4 linked regions of the Xenopus tropicalis genome follow. The protein of the gene in region 4 interacts with the protein of the main gene of each other region in a pairwise test. Links are inferred from orthologs where the notes say so. Each region holds a gene or a part of one and is shown on either strand. Other genes may lie near its edges.

What was found. The genes of interacting proteins can lie anywhere in the genome.
Region 1: the proteins of E3 ubiquitin-protein ligase TRIM39 (region 4) and wdfy3 interact in binary tests that used the Homo sapiens proteins (3 or more experiments, as listed by UniProt). The two-hybrid records come from large-scale screens. The link is inferred for Xenopus tropicalis from reciprocal best matches to the Homo sapiens genes TRIM39 and WDFY3.
Region 2: the proteins of E3 ubiquitin-protein ligase TRIM39 (region 4) and prpf3 interact in binary tests that used the Homo sapiens proteins (3 or more experiments, as listed by UniProt). The two-hybrid records come from large-scale screens. The link is inferred for Xenopus tropicalis from reciprocal best matches to the Homo sapiens genes TRIM39 and PRPF3.
Region 3: the proteins of E3 ubiquitin-protein ligase TRIM39 (region 4) and lnx1 interact in binary tests that used the Homo sapiens proteins (3 or more experiments, as listed by UniProt). The two-hybrid records come from large-scale screens. The link is inferred for Xenopus tropicalis from reciprocal best matches to the Homo sapiens genes TRIM39 and LNX1.

Annotation. Positions count from the first base shown.
Region 1 is NC_030677.2:86,540,712-86,546,502, reverse strand, and holds the start of wdfy3 (WD repeat and FYVE domain-containing protein 3), read left to right. Parts: upstream 1-1,963; 5' UTR 1,964-2,394; intron 2,395-5,791. UniProt on the Homo sapiens protein: Required for selective macroautophagy (aggrephagy). Acts as an adapter protein by linking specific proteins destined for degradation to the core autophagic machinery members, such as the ATG5-ATG12-ATG16L E3-like ligase, SQSTM1 and LC3.
Region 2 is NC_030684.2:127,697,542-127,703,255, reverse strand, and holds the start of prpf3 (U4/U6 small nuclear ribonucleoprotein Prp3), read left to right. Parts: upstream 1-1,886; 5' UTR 1,887-2,046; intron 2,047-5,221; 5' UTR 5,222-5,259; coding exon 5,260-5,404; intron 5,405-5,714. UniProt on the Homo sapiens protein: Plays a role in pre-mRNA splicing as component of the U4/U6-U5 tri-snRNP complex that is involved in spliceosome assembly, and as component of the precatalytic spliceosome (spliceosome B complex).
Region 3 is NC_030677.2:39,807,009-39,812,858, reverse strand, and holds the start of lnx1 (E3 ubiquitin-protein ligase LNX), read left to right. Parts: upstream 1-2,022; 5' UTR 2,023-2,182; intron 2,183-5,850.
Region 4 is NC_030678.2:143,270,827-143,276,583, forward strand, and holds the start of E3 ubiquitin-protein ligase TRIM39, read left to right. Parts: upstream 1-2,193; 5' UTR 2,194-2,281; coding exon 2,282-2,372; intron 2,373-5,757.

The sequences.
Region 1 (5,791 bases), on a different chromosome or scaffold from region 4:
TCACACTGCTGTAGGCTGCCAGCAACATATCTCAGAGAAGCAAGCAGGGATCTGGGAATTTAGATATGCAGTAAGTACTTAATAAGAATGCCTTTAGACTTACTTTTAATTTATATTAACCTTTCATTGTCCTTTAAACAATAAGAGTAATAGGTCCTAAGCCCCAAGAATATTAAACAGTGGGTACTGGACCCAAAGACAGGTTATATACAGGGTAAAGTAGTTGGCACTGACATTACAAGTACTTAATACGGTTAAATACTGGTAACTGAAGAAAGTCAGTGGGCATCGGCACTCCAACTACAGTAAATAATGTGAAAAAATTGGATGCCCACGGCATTCCAAGAACATAATTTAAAATGGGGGAAGTGGCAACTGGCATCCCAGTTATTTAGAAAACTAACACCCCAAGGACATTATATACAGTTTAACACAGTGGGAACTGATGCCCCAATCACACTAAGTGAGTGGCAGTAGGCAGCGGCACAATGATTACCGTATATACTCGAGTTTAAGCCAATCCGAATATAAGCCGAGGTACCGAATTTTACCTAAGAAAACTGGAAAAACGTGCTGACTCGAGTATAAGCCTAGGGTGGGAAATGCAGCAGCTACTGCTAAGTTTCATCAAAATAAATACCAATAACATTACATTAAATGAGGCATCAGTGGGGTATATGTTTTTAAATATTTATTTCAAATAAAAACTGTAAACTAGCTCTGTAAGTGGAGGGTCAACAAAAACAATTGTTTTATTAACAATGATACCTTAAGAGTACTCAGCAACCAAGCTAAAACACAAAGAGTTAAAATCCTCCAAAACTATATATAGTTTATATAGAATATAAAGTGAAATGTCTAGTGCAGAATGGGACAGGTGAGGATGGTAGATGAAGATAAATTTGGGAGCGGGCCAGGGCACTGGAGGGTCTGGTTGCGGATGGCCTAATTTGCACACAAAGGTCAGAGGGTGCTAGTTTGGAGGGACCCATGGCACCCGACTCGAGTATAAGCCGAGGGTTACTTTTTGAGCAAATTTTGGGTGCTGAAAAACTAGGTTATATAAGAGAAAGGTGCAAGGCAGAGGGTACATGCATTATTTACAGTGAGGGGAGGTGAGCACATGTACCTCTAGCTAGAGAGCTGTGATAACAGCACTGCAAATTTGACATTGCCGCTGTCAAATCAAGGTAGTACAGCATGGTTCCATCAGCATACCACTTCTGCACCACTGACAAGGCTGTTGGAAGGTACAGAAATTTGCCAAAACCCACAGACTGTCAGTCTGGGCCTGGCAGGCAATCACTATTTATCAGTCTTCAGGGAATTGTTTGAGCCTTTGCGCACTTAAAAAGCCAGGGCCAATTCTGAATCCTAATCTGGACCCCTTGGAGTACCACATTAGAAGAACATAAAATAGGTAATAATAGGAAAATATTTTAAGCTTGTATCAATTTTTTATTATCAGTAACACATGCGGAAAACAACTGGGACACCAAGAGCCCATCCATCACAGCCTTACAACATTTGCTTCTTGCTGAGTATGTGCATGTTTGCTGCACTTCACCAGGGCCCTCTAGGCAACCAACCCCTGAAACTATAACTCAGACTCAGCATTAGGGTATACTTATGTACTCCTTTGTTTAATGGCAAATCAAATGAAATTGTGTGATGATAGTTGAATCAGTAATCAGAAGTTACAATTACTATCGTTTGATCACAAAAGCATACATATTTCCGACTGTCTGTGGGGCAGTGGAATTATGAAGAAACTAAAACGTATTATATTATATTGGAATTGTGTCCGAATAACTTTAATTACAGTCTTTTATACCTTTTTCTAACACCCTTCTATATCCACAAGCATCATCACCTATAGTACCAGTGTATGTTTTTAGCTTTTCATACAGTCCCTAAGCTCCACAGCCCGAGCTTTTGCGGGAGGGGGAAGGGGAAGGCGAAGGGAAAGGGAAGATCTCGGAATGAGTCAGGAAGAGGGAGGAGGAATAGATCAGAAAAAATGGCCACCGGCAGCTGCTGAAAACAGCACCAGCTACTGACTTCCCGGGATGGTCCGGCTGACCCGGCTGGTCAGCATTAATGGAAGGGGACGAAAGAAGGGAAGAACAGCACCTGGCACAGCGGTGGCACGGACGGCTGGTCATTAGGTCACAGCGGCAAAGCAGGGGCGCAAAGGCCCATCTGAGTCATCTTTCTTCATTTGGTTCCTTGTCTGAAGTGACATATTAATGAATTACTATTTATTTGGAAGCGATTGTTTGGAATAATTGAAGGCAAGCATGCCAGGCGCTGGGCCGCAGTAGGAGGAGGAAGAGGACAGGCTGTGTTTGTGTTCAATCCTGCTCTCCCTTTATTCTGCAACCCTGCACAACGGTGAGTGCTGCTGGACTCATCTTTCTATTGCGGGGCGATACATAGACAAACGCAGGCCTTTAATGTATAAATCATCTCTTGTGTTGTGATGAATATAATTTTTTTTCTTTGCTCTGAAGCATTGCTAGGCATTACATAGCAATTTTAAAGGGGGAAGTTCCTATTACTATTCCTTCCCTTGCCTCTGCTAGGATGCGGTCTAGCTGGCAGTTCTTGTACTCCGTGTATCTGCATTTATATAATGCAGCTTATTGTACTGCTTTATTGTGTAAAGCCCCCCCCCCTTTTTTTTTGTTACCCCTGTATAACAAATTCGTTTACAGTCTTATCTTTGGTTTCTGGGGTACAGGGCAGTGGCTTCTCCAAGGTCACAAGAAGCTGACCCAGGAATTGCAGTGGAGCTTTCATGAGTCAAATGAGTTTTGACCTGAAACCCGTTTTATTGTTAGAATTTTTTTTATATAGCTCTGACATATTCTGCAACACTTTACAGACATCCTTAACATATGTCTTTTCCCCAGTCAATAGAGCTTACAGTTTTAAGTCCCTTTCATTTACACACTGTGGGCAATTTTTTCAGGAGCCAATAAGCCTGACTTTTATGTCTGGGGTGTGAGAGTAAACAGAGTACCCAGAGAAAACCCAAGCAGACACACAGTAACTGTAAATTTTTCTCAAGCAATATCTCCTGCTAAACATGATAAAGTATATATATATATATATATATATGCTGTCTGCCAAAAAATAAAGGCATAACAACCTTTAAAATGACTGTAATGATATTAAAGACTGTTAACCATTTTAATTGTTAACACTCTTCTTGTTGTCTATGAATATGCTGTAGTTCGGTGATTACCAAAAATCTCCATACATTTTCAAGGGAATTCTGTTGGTTACTTCCAAGTTCAATCACCTATAGGTGTTTATAGCTAAAAGAGATGGGGATGTTCCTAAATTTCTGCAAACATTCTTGCACAACCATAGCAACTCGTGACCACTATTGTGCAAATAAATTACTTAGCCTAAGCAAGGTCTAATCAGGATGATTGTGTAGATGTATGTGCGCAGTTAATTTTTACTATACTGGGTATACCCAGTGTAGTAAAATGAACTTGTTACCCTTGCTTTATGTAACTATTTTCAAACTTTTTCTTTGCATAATTACTGGGTACCCAGCTGACATAATAAATAGTTATATTATATTCCCCTGCAGGAGTAAAAGTTATATACCATCAGTACACATTTGGCATTCTCCTAAAACATGCTGCTACCCCAAGGAGTATAGGAAGGCACATGAGCTGTTAGGTGTATCATAAAAATGGATGAAGCATTTCAGTGTTTTATTCAGTCTTCTGGTTTAGAAATTTCCCTGCACAGCATATGCAGTTCAAAGACAAAGGAGGGGTAGAATAAGTTTTTGTGGTTGTATGTTTGTTTTATATGTAATTCTAAACAGCTTTCTGGTGCTGCCTTCAGTTGCTATCACATTTTGCACATAACTTTAAAACTGCTTAAAATATAAGAATATGAATTGGCAATTTGTTTAAAATTACATTTTCTTTCTTTATGGGGTGAAGGACCCCTTTAAGGAATTGTCTCCGAAGTATGTATTGTTTGCCATGTGATGGAATTTTGACCAGTTATTATGCAATGTTTCCGAGTTACTGCAGCTGTGGTTTAGCTGGTATAGGAGTATAAGACCCAGAGGCATAAATATGATATTTGCTTAGCAGTAGCTGTAATTTGTAAGTATGAGTTCAATATGCTCTGTTTTCTGAGTTTTTGACAAAATGCTTATTCTTAGTTTCTTGCATGTGAGAATTTACCTTTTTAGAAAATAAAAGATCATTTTGAGAATTAATGCATGCATATTTTGTTATACTGCTTACACCACAGAGAGGAAAAGAAACTTAATTCGCAAGCTCAAATTCAGTGGCCACATTTACTGTGAAAAGTGGCAACATGTTTATATATTACCAATTAAAAATATTTGGACTAAGCACTTCTTAGACACTGCTTTACCTTTGCTGTCCAAACATTTCAGGATTTGTAAGTGGTCAGTATATTCTTTTTAAAGAATGTATGTTGTGTGCAACAAACTAAAGATATAGATCAGATATATCAAGGTTATTTTCGTACCAAGACTGGTATAGGTGGTTTTAGAAGTATGTTAAAAGGATGTATATAATATGCTACATACATGTACAGGTATAGGAAACTTTAAATATTTGTTTAAAACAGAGTATATGGTATCTACCATGTTGCTGTTTTGTGCTGTTCTGTGTTTCAGAGCATTCCGGATAACTAGATTCTGGATAAGGGATCCCATGCCTATACATGCCATTATGCGTGAATTCTGCCCTGTTTTTGAGGTATTCTTTTGTTAAATAGAGATAAAATAAGCAAAAAAAGACTACATTTGCCTGCCTGCAAAACAGTAAGGGAGATTTAGTTTTCTGAAGTGAAATTATTTATTAGGCATTCTGTAAATTTAAAGTGGTTATACAATAAGTAACAAAAAGTAATGTACTCTATATATAGTTTATGTATGTGAGTGTATAGATATGTCAGGATAGGTTTGTGTGTGCTGGGGTTCACTTGGAAAGGTTGAACTTTGGAGCCACTATTGTGGCTGGTTTGTGCACACACTCGTTTTCTTTAAAGACTGCAATGGCCTGTTCTTTTCTGTGCTTCTCTGCGCTGAACAAAGTTGTGCACATGTACCAAAATTGAAGAATTTATGCAAATATGTTTATCCAAGGTAAAAGCAGAATTAAAAATAACGGATAAAATGGATCCAGCCCAGGGTAATTTTTTAGTAAAATACACAGTACAAGTATAGAATCCCTTATCCAGAAACCCATTGTCCAGAAAGCTCCGAGTTACAAAAAGCCTGTCTCCCATGGACTCCATTTTAATCAAATAATTCAGAATTTAAAAACTGATTTGCTTTTTCTCTGTATTAAAATTGTACCTTGTATTTGATCCCAACTAAGATATATTAGTCCTTATTGGATGCAAAACAATCCTATTGGGTTTAAGTAATGGTTTATTGATTTTTTAGGAGACTTAAGGTATGGAGATCCAAATTATGGAAAGACCCCTTATCCGGAATACCCTTGGTCCCGAGCATTCTGGATAACGGGTCCTGTACCTGTACTGCTGTAATAGTACTGCTCATGTGTCTCCTGAAGTCCCTCAAATTTGCAGTGCATTTTTAACTGATGCTATCTCTCAAGGGGATTTCTGCTGCCATTAAGAAGGTATAAGAACTTACTACACAGACCAATAACTGGATGGAGTGAATTGGCTTAGGCTATCTTTCTGCTGATGTATGCTTTTCAGGGATACTAGCTTGGTCCTTGTGCCATTTTACCCATATCCCATAAGGACTAGA
Region 2 (5,714 bases), on a different chromosome or scaffold from region 4:
TCAACCTGAAACACTATTTTTCTCTACGTATTTTGTTTACGTTTAGAGAAGTATAATGCACTAGCACATTCAATAGCTACTCCTCGGCCTGGAGTAGCTATTGATGCAGAGGAGGGAGAGTGTTTTCAGGGATAGATTTATAAACCATTCTGAGCAATTCCATGTAGGCAATAGTTGTATCTGTATTCGCACCACTTTAATGTAGTTTGTCATCGTATAATGAAGCAAAAGATAGGGACAGCCCAGTGTTTCTAAACTTTGAGTTTCAAATAAGGCACCACTTAGGGCAAGATTCATTAAAGTAAAAATCCAAATCAAGAAATCCGATAGTTTCTGATGTTGGCAAAAGTCACAAAAAATTCCGTTCGTTTGAATATGAAGATTTCGTACTTACGATACGAAAGTTCCGAAATTTTCATATTGAAACGATTGTTTGCGAATTGTGATCCGATAGTCACGAAATTTTCGTATCCGAACAATTGTAAATGGCGGTAAAACCTGACTTTGAACCTTCTGTGCATGTTTTTGGAAGCCTCCCATAGGACTCAATGGCACTCTGCAGCTCCAACCTGGCCCAAGGAAAGTCTCCCATAGGGCTCAATGGCACTCTGCAGCTCCAACCCGGCCCAAGGAAAGTCTCCCATAGGGCTCAATGGCACTCTGCAGCTCCAACCCGGCCCAAGGAAAGTCTCCCATAGGGCTCAATGGCACTCTGCAGCTCCAACCCGGCCCAAGGAAAGTCTCCCATAGGGCTCAATGGCACTCTGCAGCCCCAACCCGGCCCAAGGAAAGTCTCCCATAGGGCTCAATGGCACTCTGCAGCTCCAACCCGGCCCAAGGAAAGTCTCCCATAGGGCTCAATGGCACTCTGCAGCTCCAACCCGGCCCAAGGAAAGTCTCCCATAGGGCTCAATGGCACTCTGCAGCTCCAACCCGGCCCAAGGAAAGTCTCCCATAGGGCTCAATGGCACTCTGCAGCCCCAACCCGGCCCAAGGAAAGTCTCCCATAGGGCTCAATGGCACTCTGCAGCTCCAACCCGGCCCAAGGAAAGTCTCCCATAGGGCTCAATGGCACTCTGCAGCTCCAACCCGGCCCAAGGAAAGTCTCCCATAGGGCTCAATGGCACTCTGCAGCTCCAACCCGGCCCAAGGAAAGTCTCCCATAGGGCTCAATGGCACTCTGCAGCTCCAACCCGGCCCAAGGAAAGTCTCCCATAGGGCTCAATGGCACTCTGCAGCTCCAACCTGGCCCAAGGAAAGTCTCCCATAGGGCTCAATGGCACTCTGCAGCTCCAACCTGGCCCAAGGAAAGTCTCCCATAGGGCTCAATGGCACTCTGCAGCTCCAACCTGACCCAAGGAAAGTCACCATACCGAAGCTTGAATGAATCCGAAACTTTTGTACTCTGCGCGACAATACCGTTTTGTCACGTAAATTTTGATGCATAGTACAAAAAAGTCTTGCAAATTAGCAAAAAAATGGTGAAAATACGTACAGTATGAAATATGATTTTTTTGTATTTGGAAGCGATCATACTTTGATAAATGGGCCCCTTAGACCAAAGGTTGGCAAACTTTTGTGGGGGATTTCTTTTTAATAAACAAAACCTGAATGCTATTTTTTAATAGTTTAAGGTCACAGCACCCCAATAGGAATTGGCCAGAATCCAAATTGACAGTATTTGCTACTCTTTAACAGGGCCACTATCACACATTGTCTTAGTTCTCTACTAGAGTCTTTTATGAAGAAAATTTGTACTGAACAATGCTAAATGCTGTATATTTGGCTATATTGTAGCTTCAGCAATAGTATTCCGTGGGTAACATCAGCCCGCCAAATCCCATCTGTGCGGAGATTGCGCGTTGCTAATAAAGTTATTGGGAAAAGAAATCCCAGCGTGCAGCGGGTTTCTCGGACACGTGATGCGGGTCAGAGTGGGCGCCAGACTGCATGCTCGTAGGACTTCCGGTTCCGTTTTGACGTCGGGTCTCCGTTAGTCCCCGGGTAGTGAAATCACAGGGAGAGAGGAGAGTGGCGGCTCTGTGGGTGAGTATGGGAAGTAGTTAGCGTGTAAGCTGTGTAACATTGCGTTTGGGCTGGTGTAGGCCTGAAAGGCCTCGGCCTGGAGTAGCTATTGATGCGGGGGAGGGAGGGTGTTGTCAGGGATAGATTTACAGATCGTACGTTCTGTGCGATTCCACGTAGGCAATCGTTGTATCTGTATTCGCGCTACGTTAGTGCAGTTTATCGTCATATAATGAAGCGCAAAATAGGGGCAGCCCAGTTTAGGGAAAGATACCAAACTTTGAGTTTCAGTTGAGGCACCACTTACACCGCAGGTTGGCAGGCCGGTTTGGGTCAGGACCTTCTGTCGGAACAAACATTAGGCTGGGGTCCACCGGAGTATCAGTCATAGTAAGTGGCCTTCCAGGAGTAAAACATTCTTCCCACATTTTCCCTATCTGCCCTTTAGTTGGGCCCCCTAAGAGCTTCAGCAACACCGCCTGGGAACCACTGACTTACACTGGTTGTATTTTGCTGTAGTTTATTGTATCTCATGGGTTTCACAAACACATGCGGATTATGTAATAAAAGGCACTAAATTTGCCCAGGTGCAATAACCCATAGCAACCAGTCAACAGGTATCATTTAATGGATACTTTTTATTGGTTGCTGTGGGTTACTGCTCCTGGGCAAATTTAGTGCCTTTTATTACATATGGGGGATCATTCCTACAGACCTCCCCCTGAGAACACGAATCGCTGAAATTTTTGCATGCCACACTGACATACCTATTCTGACCCCAGTAGGATATTTGCAAAAAAATCTGTCCCATTGAGAAACAAGAAATGTGTTGAAGCCAGGATGCTACTGAGGGTTGCTTAAAGGAAAACTATACCCCCGAACAATGTAGGTCTCTATAAAAATATATTGCACAAACAGCTCATATGTAAAACCCTGCTTCATCTAAACAAACCATTTTTATTAATATATACTTATTTAGTAGTATTTGCCATTGGGTAATCCTAAATTGAAAATTGCCATTTTAAGAATTAAGGGCCGCCCCCTGGGATCATAGGATTCACAGTGCACACAAACAAGCCAAGGCACACATACATGCTAGGCCCCATCAGCCAATGAATGGGCAGAGTTCTGCCTTTTACTCCCACACTACTTCCTGTTACAGTTAGAGCTGCATTATTTCCTGTCAACTGATCTCTGATTGAACACACAGCCCATCACTAAATGGCGGCTCAAGGGAAAAAGATGTAAAATGGCAATATTTACTGATATATATATTCCGGTTTGGTGAGATTCTTTAATAGTTCACTTAACATAATATAAACTGTTGGATAAGTATTCATTTTGTGGGTATAGATTTCCTTTAAGGTTGGTTATATTCCATAAAAAAGTAGTATGGGAATTCCTTTTGGGTTAAAAAAAAGCTTTTTGAGGTCAAGCATTTTGTCTGCTAGCCCCTAAACCTGTTATAGCTTTACAGATATAGGAAAACTATTTTTCATATTTATTTTCATAGATATTTGGGCTAGTAAGCAAGTCTTTATTCCAAATCTTGCTGTATAGGATCAATTTTTTTTTTTTAGCTCTAACTAGGGGAGCAAAGGGGCATTCCCTAAAGATCACCCCCGAATCTGTATTCTCCTTGCCCTCCACCATTATAAGAAGTGGGGAACATACTTCTATAGAGTTATTACAAGTACATAAAGTACTAGAATAGTAAATGTAACATTCACTAAAATTAGCAGGAATATACTAAAATGAAGTTAGAGAAAGATAATGAATTTTTCTCTGTGGGTACAGAGTGATACTTTGCCTCTCTGGGCAAATGCTAAATTCCTCCCACTGACACAGCATGCAGTTGAATGCAAACATTTGGTCCTCCCTGACCAAAATACATATTAAGTTAATTTTTCTAATTGAAAAGGCAGTGATCAAGCTGAAGGTTTTGGAATGGCCCTCACAATCCCCTGACTTATCTGCAAGCCTGTTGGTAGATCATAAACATTCATAGCACAGGCCACAGAATATCTCTGCAGGGATCTGCAAGGAAACGTGGGCAAAAATCCTTGAATAGAATTTTGTTCTTTTATTAGGCAAAAAACTTATTTTGGGATGACATGTCCTTTAATTACATATGCCATTTGGCAAGGGGTGCCCAAACTTTTTGAGGAAAAACATGTTTAATATGTCTGTTATCTATCTTCTTTATTAATAACATTGGCAAGTTTCCTGAATATAAGCAGATGCGTATATGTCTATACGTATATATCAGTCTGTAGTACAACTGAATCTGTTAGATTTGTCTGTTTGCAAAATGGGGTACATATAGGGCAGCATGGGGGGTTAGCTTTGCTGCTTCCAAGAGCCTTGTCTTGGATTTGATTCTGACCACATACAAAAAAACACCGTTTAGTGGAAGCTCAAGAATAACATGAGGCCTGGGTGCACGTTGCCCATACTTGCTGTTTGAGGAGACAACCCAGGATATGAGCTGGCACTTAGAGACCAACAAACAAATTATAATGTAGACTTTATTACACTAACCTGTCAGGATACAAAAAGCATTATGCCTTTCATGATAAAGTGTACAAGGCTTTTTAGAGGGGTTATGGAGTAAAAGCACTGTGTTTGCCCAGGAGCAGTAACCCATAGCATTTACTGGTCACCTGTTTGAAAGCAAACATCTTATTGGTTGCTATGAGTTACTGCACCTCGGCAAACATGGTGCCCTTTTATTACATATAGGCGTTTCTGTCCTGATATGTTCTTGTAATTAAGTTTTCATTTTATTTACAATTCCTATTTGTGGGTATCCTTAAGTGTCTGATCATGTCTTGGGTTTGATTTTGACCAGGGCCTGATCCAAATGGCTTTGTATGTTCTGCCCATGTTTGTGTGGGGATTCTGCCATTGCTCCTTTTTCAGTACAAATAGATGCAGGTAGGCTAACAGGCTTCTGATGAAAGTGACCCTACTGTATTTGTATAAATGTGGGAAATTAAGGTGCAAGCTTTACCAGGCAGTGGCTGTTATGTGGTTCAGTATTCTCTGTACTACCGTAATACAACCTGTTGAATATTTACTGTAGTATCATGAGTTAAAAAAAAAAAAAAAAGTGCTGTTCACCGAGGGAGACAGAAGTGGGAGTGCTAAATGTCAATTGTTGAAATAACAGACTTATTTCAATTTTTTTGTGCAGTTTATACAAAGGCAGCACTCTTACTCTTTCCAGTAAACATGGCTCTTTCTAAGAGAGAACTGGATGATTTGAAGCCATGGGTGGAGAAAACTGTGAAAGGAGTCTTGGGCTTCTCTGAGCCTACAGTAGTCACTGCAGCTCTAAACTGTGTGGGGAAGGGAATGGACAAGAAGAAGACTGTTGGTAAGTCGGTGGAAATAATATATCATTTGTTATGTAGCAAAGAAAAATCTAGGACATTTACATTTGTTTTATGTGCAAGGCTTGCTTGGGGCCTGTGCACCTATAGCAACTAATGTGCAGGTAGCATTTAGTGAAGAAATTATTGGTTGCTATGGATTACTGCGTGTGGGTAGACTTTGTCTTTTATTACATATGGGGATATTATTTTGTTATTAAAAAATATATAAATGCAAAAAAAATAATGCATGCTGTGAAAGACTGTATTAAGAATAGTAGAGAGCATGACTAGAAAGATAAAAAATAATAAAAT
Region 3 (5,850 bases), on a different chromosome or scaffold from region 4:
ATTCAGCTCTGAAGGGAGATTTTGATCAGGCGCCTTCTATCGGTCGACTCGCCGACATACCATACACGCACCGAATATCGTACGAAACGAGGTTTCGTACGATATTATCGGTGCGTGTATGGCCACCTTTACTATGGGCCAAAGGCAATCAACCCAATCAAAGACAAACAAATAGCACAAAGGCCCACCATTAGGGCAGCCAACAATTTTATTTTATTATGAACTTCACAAACCGCTCAGAAAACACAGGCCAACAATCAACCGGGTGCATTTACATGGGGTGAATTTCTGCACCAAATGCATACTTGCATATTTTTGCTCTGAAATCTCATCCATGTGTTTGCACTTGGGCTGATCTAAATGCTAAAGGTGCAGGGAAAGGCTGATGCCAGCGTAGAGGCTGATTCCTGGTCTGCATTTGACTGCATTTATCCACAGGCCAAGAATTAGCCCTGTGTGGCATTAGCCTTACACATCTACAGCTTTAACACACCTTAGAAATAAAGCAAAAGGTTGGAATAACAAAGCTGTATAAGCAAAGCAAAGAAAACCATCGAACTTAAAATAACAGAGCATTGTGCAATCTGCATATACATATGTTTTCTATCAGTTTCACAAGACTTTTGTATACTGCAAGCAATATAATATCCCTATGAGACTAGTAACCACCCCCTAAAATATATTGACACCCCCTTCCCTCTCTGCTTTCCACAAAAATTTGGGGGGCTGCCCCCATACTTGCACCACTACTTCTAGTTGTCTCAGATGCTTATTATTGAATTGTGAATTGGGGGCAAGTTTTGAATGAATAAAAACCAAGTGTACTGCCAAACAGAGTCTCCTGTAGGCAGTCAGTCCAACATAGGGGCAAACACTCCCAAGGTTGGGGGCCCCTGCTCTAGCACATAGGCAGTGCAGCCTTCAGGTTTTTGTCATGTTTTACTCTAAGCAGAATCTCCTACAGGCTAACAGTCCACATGGGGATACCAAATAGCCAATCACAGTCCTTACATGGCATCGCCAAATAACTTTTTGTGTGGCTTACCAACACTTTTTACATCTGAGTGTGGCTCACGACAAAAGGCTGGGGATACGTTTTAAAAGTCAGTTTAAAAAATGTGATAAAAACATGGGATGACCTTGGGAATAAAAGATGGTTAGTAATTATAGGTTATTGTACATTTGATCATGTACAGCAGCTCATACACTTAGGGCTCTGGCACACGGGGAGATTAGTCGCCCGCGGCAAAACTCCCTGTTCGCGGGCGACTAATCTCCCCGAGTTGCCTTCCCCCTGCCATCCCATCGGCGAACATGTAAGTCGCTGGCGGGATGGCAGACGCGGTGGCGCGATTTTGCGCAAATTGCCGAAAAAGCCTCGCGAGTCTTTTTCGGCGATTTCCCGAAATCGCCCCGTGTGCCAGAGCCCTTAGGGGCAGATTTACTAAAACTTTCTCATTTTTTTCATGTGTGAAAATATGTGCGGATAAAAGTCACAAAACTTCAATGTTGTCAAATTGTCCCACCAATGCCTCTTATTTTTGAATTGTAATACAAAAAAACAGCATCGAAAATCCAAAAACCTTAAAAGTTTCAAAGCAAAGAAGGATCATCCAGGGAAGGGAAGAGACACCTGCTATTGACTCCTACACAATCTCGACAAGTTTTAGCTGGCAAATTGTCAGATTCAGATTTTAAGCCATTTTGTGACTTTTTTTAATGCGACTTTTAGCGCTAAAAAAATCTGAATTGGAAAAAAAATCCAAGCATTATTAAATGGCCCTCATAAAGCGCTTAACTATGCTGAGTGGGGGAAAAATATTTTAATTTGTTTACTTATTTGTGTAATTAGAATCAGATTCTAAAGAAGAGAAGGTTATAACCCTAGTAACAACCAAAACAGAGCTGACAAGGTGGCAGTGACTGCCTGGGAGCGGATCACATACAGGTAGAGTCAGTGTGATGCAGCCTGTAGGTGTGAGCTGGGCTTGCTGGGTGGGTGTGGCTTGTGATGTCACTAAATGCTTTGTGTTGAACAATCAAGTAACTCAATTACAGGAAGGGTTGTGTTGTCTTCTACCTTGTTACTGGAATAAACACCCGCTGCTCTTTCTACCTCTGCAGGCAAAAATGGCCATAATAGTATCAGGACCCTGTCCCCCCTCCTGCCCATGGAGCTAAGGTGAGTGTTTGATTTGTTCTTCCCTGTCCTGTATGACTTTATTAGGTGGAGCTGACTGAGCAGGACACAATGACACACTGCCTGTTCATACCGGTCTGCAGCTCACTTTCCTATTGAGCTACAATACAAGGACTGGCGTATAAGATTTAACATTCTGGTCACTTCTCCCCAGGTACCTGGTGTCAGGAAAGTAATATAAATATACAGGATTTGAAGTTTTCCTTTTAACCACTTGTGGAATTCTTCAACACACAGGGGACACAGCGAGACAACTAAATGCCATGGCAAATCAAGTCCCAAGCTGTAATGTCACTCTTACATTGTTGTTATTTTAATGTAAAGCACAAACTTAATCTAAAGTGTTGTACATAAAAGTGCCTTTTAGTAAAATCATATATAACAGGAGAGGTACTAGGTATATTACAGTCTACAAGTTACTTAAGCATGAAAGGTTTCTGTCTAAATGGTTAAACCTCTAATGGGGTGCTATAATAAAAAGTACATCTGTGTTGGGCCTGCTAGCCCATAGCAACCAACCAGTCGATTGCTTTCAGATGGGTTACCAGCACGTGCTTCTCAATGATTGGTTTGAATGGGTTAGTATACCTGGGACCTGGGACCTTGCAACTTTTATTGCATTACCCCTTTAATGTGAAAACAAAACATTATCTTTCTTGGTGTTGCCAAACTGCAACTCACAAGGTACTTCATAGGATAAGCATTTCTGCTGTAATATGAGTCTGGCATAAAGTAAGTGACGTAGCATTTGCAAGCCTTTTGTTAGCCCAAGGGTTTGCCCCCAAGTACTAAATCTATATCTTGCATGGTTAGTAACTAAATCATTCATATGCATTACATGGCAGTCAGTGCAGACTGCAACATACAATTAATTGCTAAATAACTATTTAGTGGGGGGGTTCTGTATAATCCTAGATAAAACTGCATGGTTGTTGTATGTACTCCTCTTCTTCAATATATTTTATAGGTGCACCTTTTTAACAGTGATTTCTAATGCTATTTACATTAACAATTCCCATGTGTATGTATCCAAATTTTGACTTATTCTGGTCATATAAAGACATTCAAAAATTCTCTATTAAATAGGTAAAATGCATATGATGCCAGTTGAAAAATGGGCATAAATGCTGGTCCATGTAACCAGAAATGTATTGATTTGGAGAGACGTTAATTGTTGTTCCAGTAAGGAACAACCCCCTTATTTTATGTGCAGTATTAGTGGTTCTGCCATTTTGCATATAAAACTTGATATGAGTGCTCACAGTGGCCCACAGCATTCACATCCAAGGAGTTTTCTTGCTCCGGCACGCACAGCAACTCACACCAACCAAAAGCTGCTGTCCACTTACAGATGAGGAATAACATATAGGTCATTACTTCCCCAGTGACATATATTAAAGGCATCACTGCCAGTGCATCCCTGGAACTTTGCGTACTGTACTTTCAGTTGTCTTTTGTTTATTCCATATATCTCCAACTTGCAGCCCTCCAGATGTTGTTAAAGTACATCTTCCAGCATCCCACCGACAGCCAAGGAGTGTCATGGGGCAGTGGGAGATGAACTTCAACAACATCTGGAGGGTTTTTCTGTTTCCCATTTGCGAGTTTGTTCAGTAAGCACTAAATGTGAGTATGGACAGGTCCAGCAAAGCCAGGGGAGCCCCTCACCCCTTATCACTGAGTTCCAAGTTGCTGATATAATAAATACTTATATTATTGGTGGTGAGCCCAGTACAGGAAGGAAAGCATTTGTGGAAAGCTTAATGAGCTGTCGCACTGCTGCTAAAGGCCAACCGGTTTTGCTCACGTTTATCTGAGGGAAACTCACATGCAGTTCTCATGGAACAAAAACTCTCCTAGCTTGCTATGTAAATAGACTGTGTTTACTTTTTAAAAAATGAAGAAAAAATGCCTGATGAGGTTCTAATGCAGAGAAAATATTTCAGGGAAAACTTATTGGCCTTGCTTAGAATGGAAACAATATATTTCACTATTGGCCCAACAACTTGCCTATTGTTAAACATTCCTATTCTATGTTTCTGCACTTCTATCTAGCTTGCCAACTTTCTTTTTCTAGTTATATCTAGGTTTTCGTAAAGTGATATGTTTTAAAAATACAGCAGATTCATCCCCCTTAGCCTTGGAAAACTTGGCTTGGCTCTGCTAAATAACCTTGTAAAGGCTCATGGGACGCACTAGAGCTGTACTGGCCCCACTAGAGCTGTGTTGGCCCCACTAGAGCTGTGTTGGCCCCACTAGAGCTGTACTGGCCCCACTAGCGCTGTGTTGGCCCCACTAGAGCTGTACTGGCCCCACTAGAGCTGTACTGGCCCCACTAGAGCTGTACTGGCCCCACTAGAGCTGTGTTGGCCCCACTAGAGCTGTACCGGCCCCACTAGAGCTGCACTGCCCCCCTCCTAGAGCTCTACTGTTCCCCCCCCCCCATCTAGAGCTGTATTGCCCCCCTTCCCCCTCCTAGAGCTGTACTGGCCCCACTAGAGCTGTATTAGTACTTTCAAGATTTCTAATGCAAGGAAAAAGGACCATTAGCTGTAAAGCTCCAAAGTCTGGCACTTGTCCGCTAGTATAATAATGCCATGTGTGCTATAGACCTAAGTGCATTGAATAGCTGATTTGTGAAACTTTTGTTCTCCCCCCACGTAACCTTGCAGGGTTTACTGGTGTGAAGGTGCCAGAAATGTACATTTGCTTCTATTACAGTTACTTGTGACTCCCCTAGGAACCTAGGCACGGAGTAAGTATTACTGAGGGTATTCAGTTCACAGTTTTGCACCAGTGCAGTAACCCATAGCAAATTAGTTCTGATCAATAGTTAAATGTAGTCATAACAAAGGTCTGGTTGCCACAGGTTGCTGCGCTGGTATAAAGTTCCACATACAATATCTTGAATCCTCCCTATCCAGCCTCAATGACCATTTTATTATAGACTTTCTGCCCTCCAGCTGCAGTTACAATACAACTTCCATCATCCCCTACTATCAGAGGTGGGGTCTGTTGACGTATAACAACTGATGGAGGACAGATGTTTGGAATTCCCTTTGCTTTGCTTTTTACAATCACAAAGATGCTCCTAATGACAAGTGAAACTGTACTGAATGCAGGAATGCAAGTTTGGGCAATTTCCAGCTAATACCATTATAACCTAACAGAAACCTGCATGTTAAGGCAAGTCTAAAACTTCTGCCAAAACATCTATAGATCAGAAACTTGGCTTTAAGGGAACGGTATCTTCCCCCGAGGGGTCGGTGGCATGTTAATTAGACTTAATTATTCCATGAACTTAATTCTTTTTTCACGTTGCTAACTATAGAATTAAACCATAGAATGTGCCTGTGCAATATCATTGCCCATGCTCTGTTACATGTATGACCCACAAGAGCAGTTGTGGTTGTGCTGTTGTTGCATGAATATACAACATTCCATAAAGGTGCGTACATCTAAAGTGTCTAAAGCGGCCTCTTGAACTCTCACATAGTTGCACTAAATGCTGTTGGTTATACCTCCTATTGTAAGTTACACACAGTGTGCCTATTGATGCAGGGGAACCAGTGGTGTAAATACTCTGCACTGGACCCCCTGCAAAAAAAAATTCAGAGGGGCTTGGTAGCAAACTCTACATGCCCCTCCCC
Region 4 (5,757 bases):
CCTTTTCTTTAAAAAAATGCACCAGCCCAACATTCTCCAATTGCAAGCGCTATTTTGCCAGGCTAGAATCAATGGGGGTGGACAACAACTCAGTGATTCTACCTTTCCTTCTCTTTAAGGACTGGTCATGGGCCCTTTGACTTATTATAAAGCAGTCATGCCTCTGGTAGAGGAAACAGAACCTTTTATTTCCCATGTTTAGTGCCCAGGCTAGTTTATGACCAGCTGGGTGCCTACCCTACTGTGTTTCCTGAAACTTGCAATGGCTATTCCACTGAATATAGTGATCATATTAAGCAAATACTACCAATAAATGTAGGGTTCAATGATTCACCTTTTTGATCCAAACTATTTACTTAATACTTTAATTACAGCTAAAAAGGCACTTTTAACTTCCTGGTGGATGACAAAAACCATTATATTTTTGGCGAAAATACACTCGGAGCGTTCGAATGAATGCTCCGGGCGTTTGTGTCTTAATAAATCTCCCCCTATATCATGCAAATCTTATAATAGCACAAAATGCATCTACAGGCATTTATCTGTGATTATGTGATTTGAATAAAATGCCTGTTGCAATTTACATTAAACCCATAGTGGAATATTTTTGTTGTCATGTTTTTGCCCGCTGGAAGTGATATCCCCTTAGAAACAAAATGCTTTGTGTGGCATTGCGCAAGAGGTATGTATGTATGTATAACTTTATTTATAAAGCGCCACAAGGGTACGCAGCGATGTACAATCTTACAAAATTACACACAGGGAGGACAAGTGTTATAATAAATACAATAAATAAGTACAAAATACACAAGGAATAAGTGCCATGTGGTATGAGACACAGTAGGAAGGCAGTCCCTGCCCCATAGAGCTTACAATCTAAGTAGGTGAGTTTGTTATATACAACACGCCAGTACAGATAACAATATTGTGCATCTTGCGGTTCCTAAACATAACTACCCCCAGCCAGGGCTAAGGGCTCTGGCACACGGGGAGATTAGTCGCCCGCAACAAATCTCCCTTGTCACGGGTGACTAATCTCCCCAAGTTGCCATGACCTGCCTCACGAGTCTTTTTTGGCGATATCGGGAAATCGTGCCGCCGCGTGTGCCATCCCGCCGGCGACTTACATGTTCGCCGGTGGGATGGCAGGTCATGGCAACTCGGGGAGATTAGTCGCCCGTGACAAGGGAGATTAGTCGCCCGCAGCAAAACTCCCTGTTCGCGGGCGACTAATCTCCCCGAGTTGCCTACCCCTGCCATCCCACCGGCGAACATGTAAGTCGCCGGCGGGATGGCAGACACGGCGGCGCGATTTCGCGCAAATTTCGTCGCGATTTCGCGACTTACATGTTCGCCGGTGGGATGGCAGGTCATGGCAACTCGGGGAGATTAGTCGCCCGCGAACAGGGAGTTTTGCCGCGGGCGACTAATCTCCCCGTGTGCCAGAGCCCTAAGGGCTCTGGCACACGGGGGAGATTAGTCGCCCGCGATAAAACTCCCTGCTCGCGGGCGACTAATCTCCCCGAGTTGCCTACCCCTGCTGGCGGGATGGCAGACGCGGCGGGGCAATTTCAGGGAATCGCCGAAAAAGACTCGCGATTTGCGCGAAATCGCGCCGCCGCGTCTGCCATCCCGCCGGCGACTTACATGTTCGCCGGTGGGATGGCAGGGGTAGGCAACTCGGGGAGATTAGTCGCCCGCGAACAGGGAGTTTTATCGCGGGCGACTAATCTCCCCCGTGTGCCAGAGCCCTAAAGAAGCACTTCTTTTATCACAAGTAGGATAAAGATAACATAACGTGTCCCAGTTTGTGCAGAGAAACAGGAGGAGGAGCTTGGGCAGGTCTCCTTGTCACTCACAGTTATGACACCTTCCTGCGGGAGAGTGAGAGGACACGCCCAGCCGTCAGTACAGCCTACACACGGGTCTCCCTTCAGCTCTGATAAACAGGCTTTGGAGCCCATATACCGGACACCGCTAAAGCGGCAGTGAGGACAGCCTGCATTTATATTCCAGTATGAAACCTTTAACCTGCTCTAAAGCCCTGACAACCTGCTAGCAAATTCAGCAACCCAATTCTAAACGTAGATTTATATTACTAATCATCCCCCCCCCCCTCTCTCTACGTCCAAGTGGTATGTGCTGACTTCTAGTTTCCTGCGAGCCGAGCGAGTCGGTGCGGTGCAGGTAAGCGCGCAGGGTTGTGTACCATGGCGCATTCACATTCATTGTTTCCGTGCTGCTCTCAGTCTCCTTTATGTGAGGCAGCCCCCAGCACCACATGTGGCTAGAGCAGTGCCAGCTTCCTGAATTAAAGATGGATTCCGAGCCCACAACTGCATTTTTGTCGAGTTTAACAGGAGGAATGCAAGGTATGCACCATGGAGGAAGGTGCCTGCTATTTGCAGCATGGTGACAGGGGTGTGCTGTATAGGCAAATGCAGGCTGGCTGAGCCTAGGGGCAATGGCACACAGGGGGTTTGTTGTCTCTGGGAAAGAAAATCCCAGTTCCCCTTAGGCCAAACATGGCAGCACATTGGAATCACCACATGTTTGTCAGCTAATTCAGCAATCACACAAACTGCTGCTTTCTGTATATTCACATGATAACCTCATTCAACTGAGCTGCACACAGCAACACAAAGCCCCACGGCCCCATTGCCATAATCATGACATCATGCTTTCTCTTTACTAAATGCCTTGTATGTGTTGTATGTGGCCTTCAATAAAACAATATGAGCGAACTGTTGATATCAGAACATTTGTATTCTGGTTTATTTTCAACTTTTAAACACGTTTTAGTAGGTTTTAAGCATAGTCTTCTGAATTAAAGGAACAGTAACACCAAAACATTAAAGAGTTTTAAAGTAAATGAAATATAATGCACTGTTGCCCTGCACTGGTAAAAGTTGTGTGTTTGCTACAGTAACACTACTATAATTTATATAATAAGCTGCTGTGTAGCCATGGGGGCAGCCATTCAAGCTGGAAAAAAGGAGAAAAGGCACAGGTTACATAGCAGATAACGGATAAGCTCTGTAGAATACAATCGTGTTTTATCTGTTATCTACTAAGTGCCTGTGCCTTTTCTCCTTTGAATGACTGCCCCCATGGCTACACAGCTGCATTCTTTATATAAACCATAGTAGTGTTTCTGAGGCAAAACACCAGTTGTACCAGTGCAGGGCAGCAGTACATTATATTGGAATTTCTTTCATACACTTGAATTTTTTTGGTGTTACTGTTCCTTTAAGAAAGAATCCCTGGAAAGCTTGGTCCCAAGAATTCTCCCAAGTTCTTCCAAACGCTTTTTACGGTTTAAACAGTTCACCAAATAGGAAAATTTTTCATTGCTTTATATATATATATATATATGTGTATTCTCTGCCCTGGTAACTCTGCCTTGTGAATCACTGTAACACAAGCAGCAGACTGACAGACCTGACTTGCTGGAGGAGATTGACCTTTGAAACATTGTTTAAAAAGTAACAACCAGGAGTTAACTAAATGCTGCTTTCAATAGCAGTTACATTCACAAATAACTTTTGAAGCACTAACATTTTTGTTTATAAATTCATATTAGAAAGTTGCTTAGAACTATGTTTTCTTTTATTAGGCAAAATATATTTTTTGGGTTGACATGCTCTTTAAGGGTGAGAGCACACAGGACATATGGTCCGCTTCTCTCGGCCTGCATTTGGTAGGCAGGTTTTGATAAGCAGATCTGATTTATACGCTTCTGTGTGTAGTTGCACTGATAGTGATAGCATAGGCCTGATTGCTGCTAGACAGAGCAGTGATTGGTCAGAAAAACACGACAGCAGGCATTTTCAGGCCAGTCTCTGCGCCGTGTAGCTGCATTAAGGCCGATGCTGTGTCTGTCAGTGCAGCTACTCACAGAAGTGTTTAGAGCAGATCTGCTTCTCTCTGCCTGGCCCAATGCAGGCAGAAAGAAGCAGACTATACATGCTTTAAGAGGGGCCTAAATGAGTTCTTGAACAATCAGAATATCCAAGGCTATTGTGATACTAATATCTACAGTTAGTACTAGTGGTTGTATTTATAGTTTATGTATGTGAGTGTATAGATTGGTAGGTGTGGGTAAGGTGTGCTGGGTTTACTTGGATGGGTTGAACTTGATGGACACTGGTCTTTTTTTAACCCTATGTAACTATGTGTGCCCTCTCCCTAATATTCAAGTCTCAAGTGCTACAGTCTGGTATCTCAGTAATCCAGGTTACTCTGAACTGTTATAGTTTGCTACATGAATTGATAGATTTCTCAGCAGAACATGTGAAACATTAGTAACTACTGTATTAATTCTAGCAGCTGCCTTTAATAAAATGTAGGCCCTGGACATATAGAGCATTTCTTCTGCTTCTCTCAGGTGAGAGAAGCAGATCTATTCCCTTACGCAGCTCTGTTTACCTACACTAAAAGTACAACTTTTGCTTGAGTGCAGGTACATGGAGCGGAGTGGAGACTGGACCGAAAATGCCTGCTTTTGCCGCTTTTGTTGCCAGCAGAGGGGCCGATTCTCTGCCTGTGTTTTTCCACAGGCCGAAAATCAGTTTTGTGTGGCATCAGCAATAAGCTGGCCATATGTGCACTGATAAAATCGTACGAAACGCAGTTTCATAAATATTTCGGACCTTGTGTGGGATCCGAATTATCATCCCGATAATTTGTGTACCATGGCAATCCCAGGTTAGAAAATTTTGCTCGGAAAATTATAAAATCTGTGCATGTATTTATTACCTGACGATATCCTTGGGGGACCTGCAATGCATTTCCAGTAAGTCACTTTTGTACGATTGGTGTCTGCCAACTATTTCATGTTCAGAACATCCTCCGATTTGTTATTTTTAGGGCTTTATCCTACAATTTCGCCTGCCCTAAACATTAATATTAGAAAAACACTCAAATATTGAAAAAAGAAAAGTAGAAAGCAAATGAAAAAAAAAAACATTTATGGTGTACAGGAAAAGACATTTTGTGTTTACAATTGTAGCAGTATATTCTTTCATTAGGTAAAAGCTTAAAGGAAAACTATACCCCAGAATGAATACATAACCAATGACCTATTAAAGAATCTTACCAAACTGGAATATATATATCAGTAAATATTGCCCTTTTACATCCCTTCCCTTGAGCCGCCATTTAGTGATGGGCTCTGTGCCTAGCATGTACTGTATGTGTGCTATGGCTTGTTTGTGTGCACTGCAGGCGGCCCTTAATTTTTAAGGCAATTTTAATGCCAATTTTTTATTTAGGATTACCCGATAGCACATACTACAATCCATTTCATTTCAAGCAACTTTCCAATATATATTTAATTACAAGTTCCAGTGCTTTATTACATGTGCATGTAAATTTCTGTTCTTTGTACAAGTCCCATTGACTTCTATAGAAACTGGCAAGCTTTTAAATGGTGAATTTGTACATTCAAGTTTTTGGGTTTTTAAATAGCAGACATTCCTGAAACAGAATTCCAATGTAAGTTTTTTTTTTAGTGCAAAAAAAACTTGAATCGCGAGAAAAATCAAACTCACACTTTAATAAATCTCCCCCTTACATTTGCAAAGCATTTTTCACACACAAGGTAGCAATGACAAGAAAATATTATACCCCATTTTTAAAATTGAGGTATGCCTGCCACTTGCTATACAATGCAACTGGGGGACCAAGGCATCACATATTGCTTGGACATCTGTATCTAATATTGCTGCGACCACTGTGCTGTGTGATGGATTACTG